Linked DNA regions of Lonchura striata. The protein of the gene in region 1 purifies or fractionates together with the protein of each later gene. This does not show direct contact. Links are inferred from orthologs where the notes say so. Each region holds a gene or a part of one and is shown in the gene's direction. Other genes may lie near its edges.

The links.
Region 2: the proteins of PNKP (region 1) and XRCC4 purify together in Homo sapiens (co-immunoprecipitation; 5 studies listed by BioGRID and IntAct, counting the BioPlex papers as one, with this or other methods). This does not show direct contact. The link is inferred for Lonchura striata from reciprocal best matches to the Homo sapiens genes PNKP and XRCC4.

The regions. Positions count from the first base shown.
Region 1 is NC_134640.1:2,119,162-2,127,557, reverse strand, and holds the start of PNKP (bifunctional polynucleotide phosphatase/kinase), read left to right. Parts: upstream 1-5,151; coding exon 5,152-5,269; intron 5,270-6,387; coding exon 6,388-6,434; intron 6,435-7,529; coding exon 7,530-7,802; intron 7,803-8,396. Other genes in the region: KCNA7 (potassium voltage-gated channel subfamily A member 7), read left to right, coding at 2,223-2,997. UniProt on the Homo sapiens protein: Plays a key role in the repair of DNA damage, functioning as part of both the non-homologous end-joining (NHEJ) and base excision repair (BER) pathways.
Region 2 is NC_134642.1:85,603,055-85,610,796, reverse strand, and holds the start of XRCC4 (DNA repair protein XRCC4), read left to right. Parts: upstream 1-4,650; 5' UTR 4,651-4,672; intron 4,673-7,742.

The DNA.
Region 1 (8,396 bases):
TTGTCGGTGTCATTGTCACCATTCTCATCGTATTCCTCATTGGTGTTGTCACCATCTTCATCAACTTCATCATCAGTGTCATTTTTATCTTCATCATTCTCATTGTTGGTGTCGTTGTCACCATCCTCATCAACTTCGTCATCAGTGTCATTTTTATCTTCATCATCTTCATCGTCACTGTCATTGTCATCTTCATCCTCATTGTCGGTGTCGTTGTCACCATCTTCATCATCTTCATCGTTGGTGTCATTGTCACCATCTTCATCATTGGTGTCACTGTCACCATCCTCATTCTCATCATTCTCGTTGTCGGTGTCATTGTCACCATCTTCATCATCTTCATCGTTGGTGTCATTGTCACCTTCATCATTTTCATCATTGGTGCAGTTGTCACCATCTTCTTCATCAGCATCATTGTCACCATCCTCATCCTCATCATCCTCATTGTCGGGGTCCTTGTCATCATCTTCATCATCTTCATCCTCATCGTCCTCGGTGTCACTGACATCATCTTCATCATCCTCATCTTCAGTGTCCTCATTGTGGACATCCTCATCTTCATCGTCCTTGGTGTCATTGTCACCATCATCGTCATCATCATCATCATTGGTGTCATTGACAACATCCTCATCCTTATCATTCTCATCATCGGTGTCGTGGTCACCATCTTCATCATCCTCATCCTCAATGTCATTATCACCGTCCTCATCATCCTCATCATCCCCAGTGTCATGGTCACCATCCTCATCTTCAGTGTCCTCATTGTGGACATCCTCATCTTCATCGTCCTCAGTGTCATGGTCACCATCCTCATCCTCATCTTCAGTGTCCTCATCATGGCCATCTTCACATCTTCCTCCTCATCATCCTCATCATCCTCATCATCCTCAGTGTCATTGTCACCATCCTCATCCTCATCTTCATCATCCTCATCATGGCTACCTTCATCTTCATTGTCCTTGGTGTCACTGTTACCGTCCTCATCATCCTCATCATTTTCAGTGTCCTCATCATGGCCATCTTCATCCTCATCATCCTCATCATCCTCATCATCTTCAGTGTCCCTGTTGCCACCACCCTTGTGTTCACCCTCATATTCATCAGCGTTCTCTTCATCATCATCATCATCATCATCATCATCATCATCATCATCATCATCATCCTCCTCATCCTCATCCTCATCCTCATCATCATCCTCATCTTCATCCTCCAACCCCGCTGACCCACAGTGGGTGGGTGGGTGGTCACTTTGGGGTCTGGGTGGTCTCCAACCCCCATTAACCTATTTTTGGGGTCTCCAACTCCTGTTAACCCCCTCTGGGCGGTCACTTTGGGGTTTGGGTGGTCTCCAACCCCCATTAACCCATTTTGGGAGGTGGATCTGGGGTTTGGGTGGTCTCCAACCCCCGTTAACCCATTTTGGGGTCTCCAGCCCCCCTTAACCCATTTTGGGAGGTGGATCTGGGTTTGGGTGGTCTCCAACCCCCGTTAACCCATTTTGGGAGGTGGATCTAGGGTTTGGGTGGTCTCCAACCCCCCTTAACCCATTTTGGGAGGTGGATCTGGGGTTTGGGTGGTCTCCAACCCCCGTTAACCCATTTTGGGAGGTGGATCTGGGGTTTGGGTGGTCTCCAGCCCCCCTTAACCCATTTTGGGTGGTGGATCTGGGGATCTGGGTGGTCTCCAACCCCTGTTAACCCATTTTGGGGGTCTCCAGCCCCCCTTAACCCATTTTAGGTGGTGGATCTGGGGTTTGGGTGGTCTCCAACCCCCATTAACCCATTTTGGGTGGTGGATCTGGGGTTTGGGTGGTCACCAGCCCCCCTTAACCCATTTTGGGTGGTGGATCTGGGGTTTGGGTGGTCTCCAACCCCCGTTAACCCATTTTGGGAGGTGGATCTGGGGATCTGGGTGGTCTCCAACCCCTGTTAACCCATTTTGGGTGGTGGATCTGGGGATCTGGGTGGTCTCCAACCCCTGTTAACCCATTTTGGGGGTCTCCAGCCCCCCTTAACCCATTTTGGGTGGTGGATCTGGGGTTTGGGTGGTCTCCACCCCCATTAACCCATTCTGGGCATTGACTTTGGGGTTCCGGCTGCCGGATTCGGGCGTTTCCCCCACCTCCATCTCACCCCCCACCTCTCTCCTCTCTCCCCACAGCCCCCCTCGCCCACCCCCACCAACACCACCACCCCCACGCCCCCTCCCCACCGCTCCGGCCTGACCGACCCCTTCTTCCTGGTGGAGACCGTCTGCATCTGCTGGTTCTCGCTGGAGCTGCTGGTGCGGCTGGTGGCCAGCCCCAGCAAGGCGGCCTTCTTCCGCAGCGCCATGAACCTCATCGACCTGGCGGCCATCGCGCCGTACTTCATCGCGCTGGGCACCGAGCTGGCGCGGCAGCGCGGCATCGGCCAGCCCGCCATGTCGCTGGCCGTGCTGCGCGTCATCCGCCTGGTGCGCGTCTTCCGCGTCTTCAAACTGTCCCGCCACTCCACCGGCCTGCAGATCCTGGGCCAGACCCTCAAGGCCAGCATGAGGGAGCTGGGCCTGCTCATCTTCTTCCTCCTCATCGGCGTCGTGCTCTTCTCCAGCGCCGTCTACTTCGCCGAGGCCGAAGACGCGGCCACGGCCTTCACCTCCATCCCGCAGGCGTTCTGGTGGGCGGTGGTCACCATGACCACGGTGGGTTACGGGGACATGGCGCCGGTGACGGTGGGCGGCAAGCTGGTGGGCTCGCTGTGCGCCATCGCGGGCGTGTTGACCATCTCGCTGCCCGTGCCCGTCATCGTCTCCAACTTCTCCTACTTCTACCGGCGCGAGCTGCGCGGCGAGGAGAGCGGCGCCGTGGTGCCCGCCGCGCCCTGCCCGCACCACCCCGAGCCCGCCGGCGACGCCGAGGACAAGGCGGGCGCCGGGCAGGGGCCGGGCTGGGGCGTGGACGGCGAGGCCGGCGGCCAGAAGGGCTGGGCCGGGGGCAGGCTGGTGACCGAGGTGTGACAAGGCGGGGCGGCGGGGTGGGGGGCGGGCTGGGATGGACTGGGAGGAACTGGGAGGCACTGGGAGTGCATCTGGATGGACTGGGATGGACTGGGAGTGCACCTGGATGGACTGGGGTGCACTGGGAGTGCACCTGAATGAACTGGGAGGCACTGGGAGTGCATCTGGATGGACTGGGATGGACTGGAATGCACTGGGATGAACTGGAATGAACTGGAAGTGCACCTGGATGGACTGGGAGGCACTGGGAGTTCATCTGGATGGACTGGGATGGACTGGGAGTGCACCTGGATGGACTGGGATGCACCAGGATGGACTGGGATGCACTGGGAGTGCACCAGCATGGACTGGGAGTGCACCAGTATGGACTGGGAGTGCACCAGTATGGACTGGGAGGCACTGGGAGTGCACCTGGATGGACTGGGATGGACTGGGAGTGCACCTGGATGGATTGGGGTGCACCAGGATGGACTGGGATGCACTGGGAGTGCACCAGCATGGACTGGGAGTGCACCAGTATGGACTGGGAGGCACTGGGAGTGCACCTGGATGGACTGGGATGGACTGGGAGTGCACCTGGATGAATTGAGAGTGCACTGGGATGGACTGGGAGTGCACCTGGATGAACTGGAACGAGTGAGGATGAACTGGGAGTGCACCAGAACAAACTGGGGGACACTGTGACAATCTGGGAATGCACCAGCATGGACTGGGAGTGCACCAGGATGAACTGGGAATGCACCAGAGCAAACTGGGGCGCACTGGGATGAACTGGGAGTGCACCTGGATGAACTGGGGGGCACTGGGATGAACTGGGAATGCACCAGAGCAAACTGGGGCACACCTGGATGAACTGGGAGTGCACCAGGGCAAACTGGGGCACGCTGGGATGAACTGGGATGAACTGGGAGTGCACCATAATGAACTGGGGGTGCACCAGAACAAACTGGGGAGCCCTGGGATGAACTGGGAGTGCACCAGGACGAACTGGGAGTGCACTGGGATGAACTGGGGGTGCACCACAACGAACTGGGGGGGGGCACTGGGATGAACTGGGGCGAACAGAGCCAAACTGGGGGGTGGGGGGGGGGTACAAGAGCTCCATGGGGACACCGAGGCCACCTCGGGACCCACAGGGGACACCGAGGCCACCGAGGCCACCCCTGCTGACCCCCGCCATTCCCACCCCGGCAATAAAGGTGACACTTGGTGGCACAGCGGGGGTCGTGGGGGGGTCACGGGGGGGTCACGGGGGGGTCATGCTGAGTCAGCAGGTTCGTATTTTGGGGTCCCAGCTTGGGGTGGGGAGGGGTGACCCCCCCAGGTAGCCTCTTCCAGTCCGAACCAGTCCCCTCCCAGTGACCCCCAGACCTCTCCCAGTCCCCTCAAACCCCTCCCAGTGACCCCCAAACCCCTCCCAGTCCCCCCCAGACCTCTCCCAGCCCCTCCCAGTCCCCTCCCAGTGCCCCCAAACCCCTCCCAGTCCCTCCCAGTGCCCCCCAAACCCCTCCCAGTCCAAACCAGTCCCTCCCAGTACCCCTCAAACCCCTCCCAGTTCCTCCCAGTCCATCCCAGTGCCCCCCAGACCTCTCCCAGCCCCTCCCAGTCCCCTCCCAGCGACCCCCAAACCCCTCCCAGTGCCACTCAAACCCCTCCCAGTCCAAACCAGTCCTTCCCAGTGACCCCCAAACCTCTCCCAGTCCCCTCCCAGTGCCTCCCAGCGACCCCCAAACCCCTCCCAGTGCCCCTCAAACCCCTCCCAGTCCATCCCAGTCCCTCCCAGTCCATCCCAGTCCCCTCCCATTCTCCCACCCACCCTTGGAGGACCCACCCAGTCCTCCACCGCCAGGGGGCGCGATGCCACTCCACCCACCGGAAGCGGCGGCGTAGCAGCACCGGAAGTCGCCTCGCAGGCGCCAAAAGAGGCGCGGCCCTGAGGGGGCGTGGCTTAGAAATAAAGGGGCGTGTCTTAGGAACAAAGGGGCGTGGCTTTGCAGCGTGCAAGGGCAAAAAAAGGCGGGAACGGAGCAAAGGGGCGGGGCTGCGTGGCGGAAGTGACGTCACGGCGCCGGGAGGAGGCGGCGGGGCCGGGGCGGCTCCGGCGCCGCTCCCGGTTCGGGTCCCGGTGCCGGTTCGGGTCCCGCCGCCGCCGCCATGCGGGCCGAGCTGCGCGGCCTGGCCGGGCCCGTGCCGCTGCCCGACGGGCAGCCCGTGCTGCTGGGCCGCGGGCCGCTCACCGGCGTCACCGACCGCAAGTGCTCCCGGCAGCAGGGTGGGTGCGGGGAACCCCCCCGGGACCTCCCGGGACCCGAACCCGAACCGGGACCCCCTCAGAGCCAGCGGGACCCCCTCAGGACCCCCTCAGAACCTCCCCGGGACCCCCTCAGGACCCTCCCAGGACCCGCCGTGCCCTCTGCCCACGGGAGCCCCAAATTCACCTCCCAGGACCCCCAAATTCACCCTGCAAATTTACCCTCAGGACCCCCAAATATTCCTCCCCCAGGGCTCCCAAATTTACCCTCAGAACCCCCACGTTTCCTGCCCCAGGACCCCCAAATTCACTCTCAGGACCCCCAAATATTCCCGCCCCAGGACCCCCAAATTCACCTCCGAATTCACCTCCCAGGACCCCCAAATTCACCTTCAGGACTCTCAAATTCACTTCCAAATTCTCCCCCAGGACCTGTAAATATTCACCCCCCAGGTGCCACAAATTCCCCGTCAGGACCCCAAAATTCACCGCCCAAATTCTCCCCCCAGGACCCTCAAATTCACCCTCTGGGACCCCCAAATTCACCCCCAGGACTCCCAAATATTCCCACCCAAGACCCCCAAATTTTCCCCCCCAGGTCTCCTAAATATCCCCCCCCCACGACCCCTAAATTCCCCCTCTGGGACCCCTAAATTCCACCCCAGGACCCCCAAGTTTCACCCCCATGATCCCCAAATTTCTCCCAAAGACTCTCAAGTTGCAGCCCATGTGATCCCCAAATTTCACCCCCAGAACCCCCAAATTTCACCCCATAATCCCCAAATTTCCCCCTCAGGACCCCCAAATTCAACTCCCAAGACCCCCAAATTTTACCCCCCAAAAGCCCCAAAGTCGCCCCCCAGAACCCCCAGATTTAACGTTCTGGGACCCTCAAATTTTGCCCCCCAAGACCTCCAAAGTTTCCCCCTAGGACCTCTAAATATTCACCCCCCCCAGAATCCCCAAATTCACCCCCAAAACCCCCAAATTTCATTCTCAGAACCCCCAACTTTCACCTTCAGGACCCCCCAAATCCCCCCCAAACCCCCCTCCAGGCTCTGGGGACACTTTTGTGGGTTCCCCCTCCCCGAATTTTGGGGGGCTCAGGGGGGATCCCCAAATCTGCCCCCTCCCCACAGTGGAGATCGTGGCCAACTACGCCGAGGGCACGGCCCGGGTCACACAGGTGGGGGCACCTGGGGGGGATTTGGGGGGTCCTGGGGGGTTTTGGAGGGTCCTGGGGATGGTTTTGGGGGGACCTGGGGGGGATTTGGGGGGTCCTGGGGGGGATTTGGGGGGTCCTGGGAGGGGTTTGGGGGTCCTGGGAGGGGTTTGGGGGGTTCTGGGAGGGGTTTTGGGGGGTCCTGGGGGTTTTTGGGTGGTCTTAGTGGGATTTTGGGGGTGCTTAAAGGGGTTTTTGGGGGTCCTGGGGGGATTTGGGGGGGTCCTAGAGGGGTTTTGGGGGTGCTTGGAGGAGTTTTGCGGGGTCCTGGGAGGGATTTGGAGGGTCCTGGGGGGTTTTGGAGGGTCCTGGGGGGGATTTGGGGGGTCCTGGGGAGGGTTTTGGGGGGTCCTGGGGAGGGTTTTGGGGGGTCCTGGGGTGGATTTGGGGAGACCTGGGGGGGATTGGGGGATCCTGGGTGGGGTTAGGGGGTCCTGGGAGGGGTTTTGGGGGGTCCTGGGGGGTTTTGGGTGGTCTTGGTAGGATTTTGGGGGTGCTTAAAGGGGTTTTGGGGGGTCCTGGGGGGATCTGGGGGGTCCTAGAGGGGTTTTGGGGGTGCTTGGAGGAGTTTTGGGGGGTCCTGGGAGGGATTTGGGGAGTCCTGCGGGGAATGTGGGGGGTCCTGGGAGGGGTTTTGGGGGTCCTGGGGGGGATTTGGGGGGTCCTGGGGGGGATTTGGGGGGTGCTTGGAGGGGTTTTGGGGGGTCGTGGGGGGGATTTATGGGATTTTGGGGCTCATTTTGGGCTGGGTTTTTTGGGGAGGCGTCTTTAACCCTTTCCTCCCCAGTGTGGGTTGAACCCCAGGTTTTGGGTGGGATTTATGGGATTTTGGGGTGGGTTTTTTTGGGGAGGGGTCTTTAACCCTTCCCTCCCCAGCGCGGGGTGTACCCCAGTTTTTTTGGGTGGGATTTATGGGATTTTGGGGTGGGTTTTTTTGGGGAGGGGTCTTTAACCCTTCCCTCCCCAGCGTGGGGTGAACCCCATTTTTTTTGGGGTGGGATTTATGGGATTTTGGGGTGGGTTTTTTTGGGGAGTGGTCTTTAACCCTTCCCTCCCCAGCGTGGGGTGAACCCCAGCTCGGTGGGGGGCTCGGTGCTGGGCCGGGGGGGCTGCGGGACCCTCGCCCCCGGGCAGACGCTGCTGCTGGTGAACGGGAGGTACCCCCTGGTGCTGCACTTCGAGGGGACCCCCCACCCCAAAAAACGCCCCGCCAGCCCCCCCGAGGAGCCCCCCCCGGCCCGCAGAGACCCCCAAAGCCCCTCCCGGGGGGGGTGGCAGAAACTGGGACCCCTCCTCATCTTCACCCCCTCAGGGCTCCGGCCCAGCACGAAGGTACGGGCGGGGGGGGGGGATTTTGGGGGGAGGGATTTGGGGGTCCTGTGCCCAGCCCCCCCCCCCCTCCCCATTTCAGAGACCCCCCCAAATTCCCCCCTCAAACCCCCAACCCCCATGGGGCTCCCCAAACTTCAGCCCACAAACCCCTGAGCCCCCCAAAATCTCCCCAAATCGCACTCCAGACACCTCAGAGCCCCCAAATCCCACCCCAGAACCCCTCAGACTCCCCAGATCCCACCACAAGACCCCTCAGACCCCCCCAAATCCCACCCCAGGATTACTCAGACCCCCCCAAATCCCACCCCAAGACCACTCAATGCACTCAGACCCCCCAATTCCCCTCCCAGGACCCCTCAGACCCCCCCAAATCCCACCCCAAGATCCCTCAATGCACTCAGACCCCTCAAATCCCATCCCAGGACCCCTCAAACATTCTCAGACCCCCCAAATCCCCTCCCAGGACCCCTCAGATCCCCCCAAATCCCCTCCCAGGACCCCTCAGCCCCCCCAAATCTCAAAGCACCCCTTTTTCCCTCACAAAAACCCCCAAACAACCCCTTCAAGTGGGTGAAAACCCCCCAGAATTCCTGG
Region 2 (7,742 bases), on another chromosome or scaffold:
CCCTCGCTTATAAAAAGCTCATTTGACTTTAGCACATTTAGGAAGTTTACTGTTATTCAAATCCACAGACCAGCAGTGAAGACACCTCCAGGTGATGATGCTTAAATTTCACACTTGTTTGAATTCCTCCCTCTTTGCCCCAATATCTAGTTTGAAAACTGGACTTTTGCAAGCAGCTAGCAGATGCAGCATTTCACCAAAATATCTTACTCTGAAAAACAAAGTGACTATTAAAGTCTTTTAGTGGGGTCACTGTAGCACAAAGGTGTGCATGTCCACATATTTACTAAACAAAGAATTATGGTGGATATGCCAGTAAAATCTTACAGTAACTTTTCCCCCAGGTCTTCTCTGTAGATTATACACTTCTAAATTTTTATAGAGATATTTTTCTTCTCCTGTCTTCCCCCATTAGAGAAAAGCAATATTTTAAATAACCCATTTTTTTTTAAGTAACTCTCCTATCTGAACTTGCATGCCACACTGTTTAGTTCACCACGAATTTAGTACTGAAAACCGAAAAAACAGTAAAACCTCTGTGTGTGAATGGAAGAGGTAAGGGTCATACTAAAGCACTCTTGGAATCAGGTGATATCCTTACTATAATAAAAGCAGCGTTCAAAAAAAGGAGTTTGCAACAGAAGATGCTACAGGAATTTGCACATGGCCATGGGAAAATCTCTTAACTTCTCAAAAAAGAAGATATATTCTAATTTACCTAAAAGCTGCAAAACAGAACTATAAATATTTTACATGTACTATTTACCAAAATTTTTTTTTTGCTCATTCAGTCAAACCATCTCTTTCAAAAATGAAGAACAAATACCAAGAAAAAATATACTTAGTTAAGAAACAATGACAAGTTCTGCTAAATCAGTCATGTCCCTTGGCCCTGGGCAGGTCCACAGCACCTCTGCAAGTCTCTTGTTTGGCAGAGGTTCACATGCATGGTTTGAATATTTAGCATCTGGAAGACAGGTAATATTTTTCACAGCTGTTCCCACCTTGTTTCCACAGTCACCAGGTTGAAAATCAAAAACTTTTGTTGAGTTTGAACGCCTGGCTCTGTGCATTAGCAGAAAAACATATTCAGTGCTGCAGCTCTTACAATGAATGTGTATGGTGTCTAATGCTGCAAGCAACCAAAAAACTAAATTGTGACATTCATTTTTTTATGGCACTCAGCAAAGAAATGGTTTCTCACAACTAGAGTGATTCTGGGTAAATCTGTTAAAGCAGACTCACTACATCCTACTCTTCCAAAAAGAGACCATCTTACCCTGACAGAATAATTTCCTCAGTTCAATAATCACAGACATAAAACATTGACAATGTACTTTCACATCATCCTCTAAGATGATAGAAGTATCTACTCTGAACACTTCAGGTGAAATAAATTCACAATACAAAGACACTCTAAGATTGTAGTGTGACCTAGAAGACATTTTTAAACCTATGTACCTTTAGGTCATGATAAAACAAAGCTGCTAGCAAATCTCAATGAAGATTGATTCATTCTTGTAATTCTGAATAAGACAAACACAAAACTTTGTACTTGAAGAGTCCTGAAAGCTCCTTTTTCAGAGCACTGTCTTGGATTCTGGTATGTTTATATCCAACAGCTTGGTTTTAAATAATATTTACTAATGAATGTTTTTACAATTGGATCTATGAGCAACTCCCCTTCCTTCTATAAACACCACACTAAGAGAGCAATAAAGACTGAGACCAAAATGTTTGTCCTTGTGGAAAGTTCCCAAGTCAATTTTTGGGTAGTAATGCGGGGCCAGGATCAGCCCCAACCAGAGGGTGACAGAGAAGAAGCCGTTTTTGTCAAGTTTTCTGTACTTCTTTTGAATTTTCTCCACCATCAAATTCTAACTTCACATTTCTGCTACGAAGGAAAGTGAAGACCACCCTTCAGGAGGGGAGAAGCTCCTCATTAACTTCAATATTGCCTTTGGCTTCTTCCCTTTTTCCATCCATGCACATGGCAAACTTTTCAAGCCCACCACAAAAACTTCTGTCGAGGTTTCAGGTGTAAAATCCTGAAAGCTGGCAGGGCAAACTGATTTGTGGAAGTCAGGAAACAATACAGGTTCTGCTCCTCAATAAATGAGGGAGCCCTGCATCCCTGGTGCATCCCATTTGGAATCCACTGAGAAGCTTCTACTGGTTTCCATAGCTGCTTTAAGTTAAAATAGCGAAGGTTTTGCTTTAAGTCAAAATGATGAGTTTTTTCCCTATCCACTGGCAGTGAAGAGGAAAAAAAATCCCACAATTTCTGCTTTCACACAGAAGAAAAAACAGGTGAAAGTAAGCTTATACATATATATAATTTTTTTTTCCTGTTTGGCAGCAACTGGCCCTTCACCCAGCTCATGTTCTCATCTGCTTAGTAAGAAAGGATGTGGTAAAGAATCTTGGAAAGCAATGGATTGAAAAGTTTCCAAGGCATAAAGTCCTTTGGAAATCATGCTTCAGAATATTATAGAATATAGAATATTCAGAGTGCTGCTAGCATGCCAGAACTGCAGCTCTTACTCTTTGGACAAAGAGAATAAATTAGAGATGTAGCTCTAATCTCTTTAATTTCATGACACACAGCAGCTGTTTCCTCTCTCACAGTCAAATGTGAGGTCAAAAATTATCCTTTTTTTTCCCTGAAATGCCTTGACATTAGAGGTGGCATCATGGACAACACAAAGTCCTGGAGGATTGCTGCTCTCTTGAAGAAATTCAAACATCACAATAATGCTATAGGAACTTATTTTCACTATTAAATCATAAGCAAACCATCCTTACAAGAGTTTCTTGCTTCAGGGTCCTTGAGGCACACAGAGTAACCTCTAGCAAGGAAAAGAGACAAGTGGAGGAGATAATCTTAGCAGAATCTCATACACTTTCCATAACCTTCTTAGATTTAAACATTACTTTTGTTTTTAAGTTATTGTTATATATTTCTTATATATCACTAATAAAATAGATAAAATATAAATGACATAATAATACAATGTTAAGTAATTAGTTGCATTTAATCATTACACTGCGCAACACCAATGTTCCACCAAGATCTCTTCCCATTTTAAAACATATTCTGTGCTGAAGTTATGGATAAACATGTACTTTGTACAGGAAAAAAACCTAAGTTAACTCAGTTATTCCTTTTAATTTTAAATTTGTGTATCTGCTCTGCTCATATAAATGTTGTTGATAAATAAATATTTAATGTACAAACCTTGACTAAGAAAAAGTATTTCATTGTGACAGAGATGTAAACCCTTATTTTGTATTACCTGCACAGAGACTGGAAAAATGGGGAGGAAACAAACAAAAAAAAAAAACCAAAACAATTTGCCTCTAGACCAACTTTACATAAAAAATGTATGTATTTATACACATATATTTTAAATAAATATATATATATACATACATACATATATATGTATTAAAAAAATATACAAACCCCACAGTGTTTATGTGGCTGGATTATAGAAAAAGGTATATTGGTTATATATGTGTATTATATAACATATAATACACAATTATTAAAATATTCAATTATACATTTACATACCCCCATAAATATATAGATAAATATCTCTGTATCCACATTTATTTGTTATACACATAATAAACTCGTACATAAGCAAAGATATTATCTTCCAGATGTACTTATCTGGTTTTTATGTATTTACACCTCTTAGCTATTCATGTAACTATGAATAAATTTAAGAATATGCATTTTTATGTTGTTATATTGCATGTACATCTATACTCTTAAAAATCGTATGTACCATATATATACCCGCTATATATATATATATGCTGTAAACATATAATTTTTTAATAAATATAAAGGCTATGTATATATGTATGCATACATAGTTAAAAATGCTACACATATACATACATATATATACATACATATGTATAAATAAAGGTATATATATATAAAATAGATAAAATATAAAAATACAAAATGTAATATATATATATTTTTAAAAAATATGTATTTTTATAAATAATCCACAGTTTTCATGAATAAGTGGACCTGAGCCTCTGATGACCTCTGATGACCCCTGAAGAGCAGCCAATGACGCAGCTCAGCGCACTGCACTGAGCATGACGTCACACAACGCAACCATGACGTCACGCAGGACAATACGTGACGTCAGGAGGCCGCGAGAGATACGCCCAGCACCTGACCGACCTCGCACCGGCCCCGCACAGACGCAAACCGGGTTTTTTTTTCCCTGTCACGCAAACCCGCCCCGCGCGACTCCCAGCAAAGCCCTGAGGCGGCTCCGCTCCCGCGGGCCGCGGGTCACGCCGTGAGCGACCTGAGGGGGCGGCGCTCGGGCCGGGAGGCGCCGCTGGGCACCGGGGGAGGCCGGGGAGCGGCGAGGGCCCGGCCCGGAGCGGGCAGGGCCGGGCGGGCCCCGCTCTTACCATCGCGCCGCGCTCCGCCACATCACCTTCCGGCCGCCGCCACGGGCGGAAGCGCGCACCGCGCGCCCTCAGCGCGCCGGGGCGCGGGCGCGGCCGCCATTGGCTGGCGGCGCCGCGGGGCGCTGCGATTGGTCGGCGCTGCCGGCGGAGGGGCGGGATATACGGGCGGACGCGGCGTTGATTGGTTGGCGCGGAGCAGGCGGAAGTGGCGGCGCGGGAGGTAGGTCGGGCGGCCCGCCCCGCGCGCGCGGCACGGGCGGGACTGAAGGGAGTGCGGGGGGATGTCCCGATGTGGGGATAATCGGGATAACCGGGATCAACCCTGAACTGACCCCTCACAACACTGAGGGGAGCGGGGCACGGTCCGTGTCCCGGTGTGCGGATAACCGGGATCACCGGGATCAGCCCTGAACTGACCCCTCGCAACACTGAGGGGAGGAGGTGGATCCTTGAGTGTGTCCCGGTGTGGGGATAACCGGGATCAACGGGATCAACCCTACACCGATCCACGGGGGCCACGCATCTATCTATTTATTTATTTATTTATTTATATGTACTATATATATATATATATGTGCTCTCTCTCTCTATATATATATATTTATTTATTTATATATACTATATATATATATGCTCTCTCTCTCTCTCTCTCTCTATATACTATATACTATATATATATATATATATATATATATATATATATATATATATATATATATCTGTGTGTGTGTGTGTGTGTGTGTGTATAGTGAGACGCTGGGGTGAAAAAAACAAACAAAAAACCAACAGAAAAACCCCAAAACTCAAAAAAACCCCCAAAAAACCAAACCAAAGCAAACGAACAAACAAACAAAAAAACAACAAAAAAAAACCCCAAACAAACCCCAAACCCCCCCCAAAAAAGGAAAAAACAAAAAAAAAACAACAAAAAACCCCCCAAAACCCCACCAAAACAAACAAAAAAAAAACCATCCCCCCCAAAAAAAACACAAAAAAAACAAAAGAAAAAAAAAAAACAAACAAAAAAACCTAGCAAAAAAAAGACCCGAAACAGCCCAACCAAAAAAGCAAAACCAAAACAACTTAAAACCCCCACGAAAAACTAAAAACGACAGAAAAACCCCACATACAAACAAAAACATACAAAAAACCCCTGCAACAACTGGTTCTTTTGGTGGTTTTTGGTGGTTCTTTTCGGTTGTTCGCTGGTACTCGGCTCCCAGCGGGTGTTGCCTCGCCCGAGGGTGTGAGCCACTGGCTACTGAAGCCGTAATAATATAAAGAACGCCTTAATGAGGCTGTTTATTAATTAGGGCCCTCTTACTGTTAGTTCTAGTGTTGTATAGGGAGAGCCCAGACTGTTCTGTTGAATTTTGGCTCCTGTGCTACGTTTTCTCCTTTTAGAGCTATTCATCTTTTCTGTAGCTGCACCTGCCCAAGAATTCCTTTTTTTTTTCCTCCAGGAGCCTTTTTTGTTTGTTTTGCTTTGCTTTGTTTTGTTTGTGTTTGCTTTGTTTTGTCTGTTTGTTATTCCCTTGACAACAACTTCTTGTTGTTGAGGGGATAACCTTTGATGCTGCGAGAGCTCAGTAAAATGAAGGCGTCACTGTAGAATTTTCACAGTGATGAAACTCCTGAAGTGTTATGAGGAACCTGTTCCTCCTTATAAATATGGTTTTATAAACCACCCACCTTCCCAATGTGGTGACTTGGTTTTGGGGTCTGTTTCATTCTCTTGTGTTTCAGCACCAAATTCATGCTATTCTGCTGAGTGTGGGACAGGTTTGCTTTTTCCTTTGGTGAGGATGAACAGATTTTTTTCCCCTCTCTAAAATGACATTTTGAGGTAACATTTGAGATACTTTTTGCAGCTGCTGTGGGAGCATGTGCATGTATAAAATGCATTTATCCCATGGAATTGAGGCAGTGGTTTACTGAAGCAGAGGACTTGAAGCTGAGGCCTACAACAATCCACTGAAAATGCTGTTTATGTCTTCTACAGAGCAGTGGTAGATTTGGTCACTGTAAATTGACAGATCTCTGTGAAATCGTGGTTTCAGATTCATAATCACCAAAATTTACCTGGGATGTTACCTGCACAAGCAGGTGTAAGTTTGAAGTGGGTTCTCTCATCTGACTTTTTTGTGTCCTGTGGACTTCAGGCAATGTGTTGATTCTGAATTTGTTCTGATGTTTCTCTAGGTTGTTTAGTGCCTGTAAAGGTTCATTCAGTTGCAGATTTAACCATCTGTCTAACAGGTAGTCAGCATCTTGCTGTGTGCTCATTTTCTCATAGCATGTTCATACATTTTATTCCCGTTACTGAATTAAATTCACTGAGGTTGTTTTCCTTCCATCACATGTCAAGGTTTTGGATTTAAAAAAATCATTAAGTGCATAAAGACAATTCTAAAAATAGCCTTATTACCTAGGATAGCTTCACTTTGAAGTGTTTGAATGATGTTACATTGAAGTATGTTTGTAAAGAGAAATAAGTTTTTAGTATAATCACTGACCATTACAGCCTTTGATGGTCAACATGACTGAAGACTTTAAAGGCAGTAATACTTTTGAACTATTTTTTTTGTGTGTGTATGTGTCAGAAATAGAAGGCAAAAACTGGGTTGTTTTGCCTGCTTGGACTCACTTCTGGATGCTCAGTGTGAACTAGAAACTCAAATTGAAAATATTCTGTAAAGTCCAGGGAGACTCCTGGTGTCAGTCCTTGTTCACACCATAGCCAACCTGCTTTCAGGTGGTCATCTAGCTTCCTCTAGTGTAGTTTTGTTTGCAAACATGCCCTTTTATGATCGATTTATTAATATTTCTTTCTACTTTTATAGTTTCTGCTGAATTCCCACCTGAAACCCATTGCAGATTTTTCCAAATATTGCTCTTTATTTACCCTAGACATTTAATTTCCAAGTGAGGTTTCCAACAGTCTCAGCTATTTAAAAGGGAATTTTCACTGATCATGTGCCATATTGAAATTATTTCAGGTGAACAATTTGCTGTGGTGGGAAAAATGCCATTTAAAGATTTTGTGGAAGCCTTGGTGGTGTAATTCAAAAGATTGGTGCAACTAGCCTGGAAGTGTCTTCTGTGTGACAGGCATAGGATATTGATTGGAAAATCAGCTTTCAGATGGTGTTGTTCCAATTTCCCTTGTTCTTTTTGTCCCTCCTAATTAATATCTTGTCATGGAAAAACAGCTCTGAGGAGCTGGGACAACTTGTTTGGTGTTGTCTGCAGGAATGGGCTGGGTGGACAAAATAAAAAAAAAAAATAGA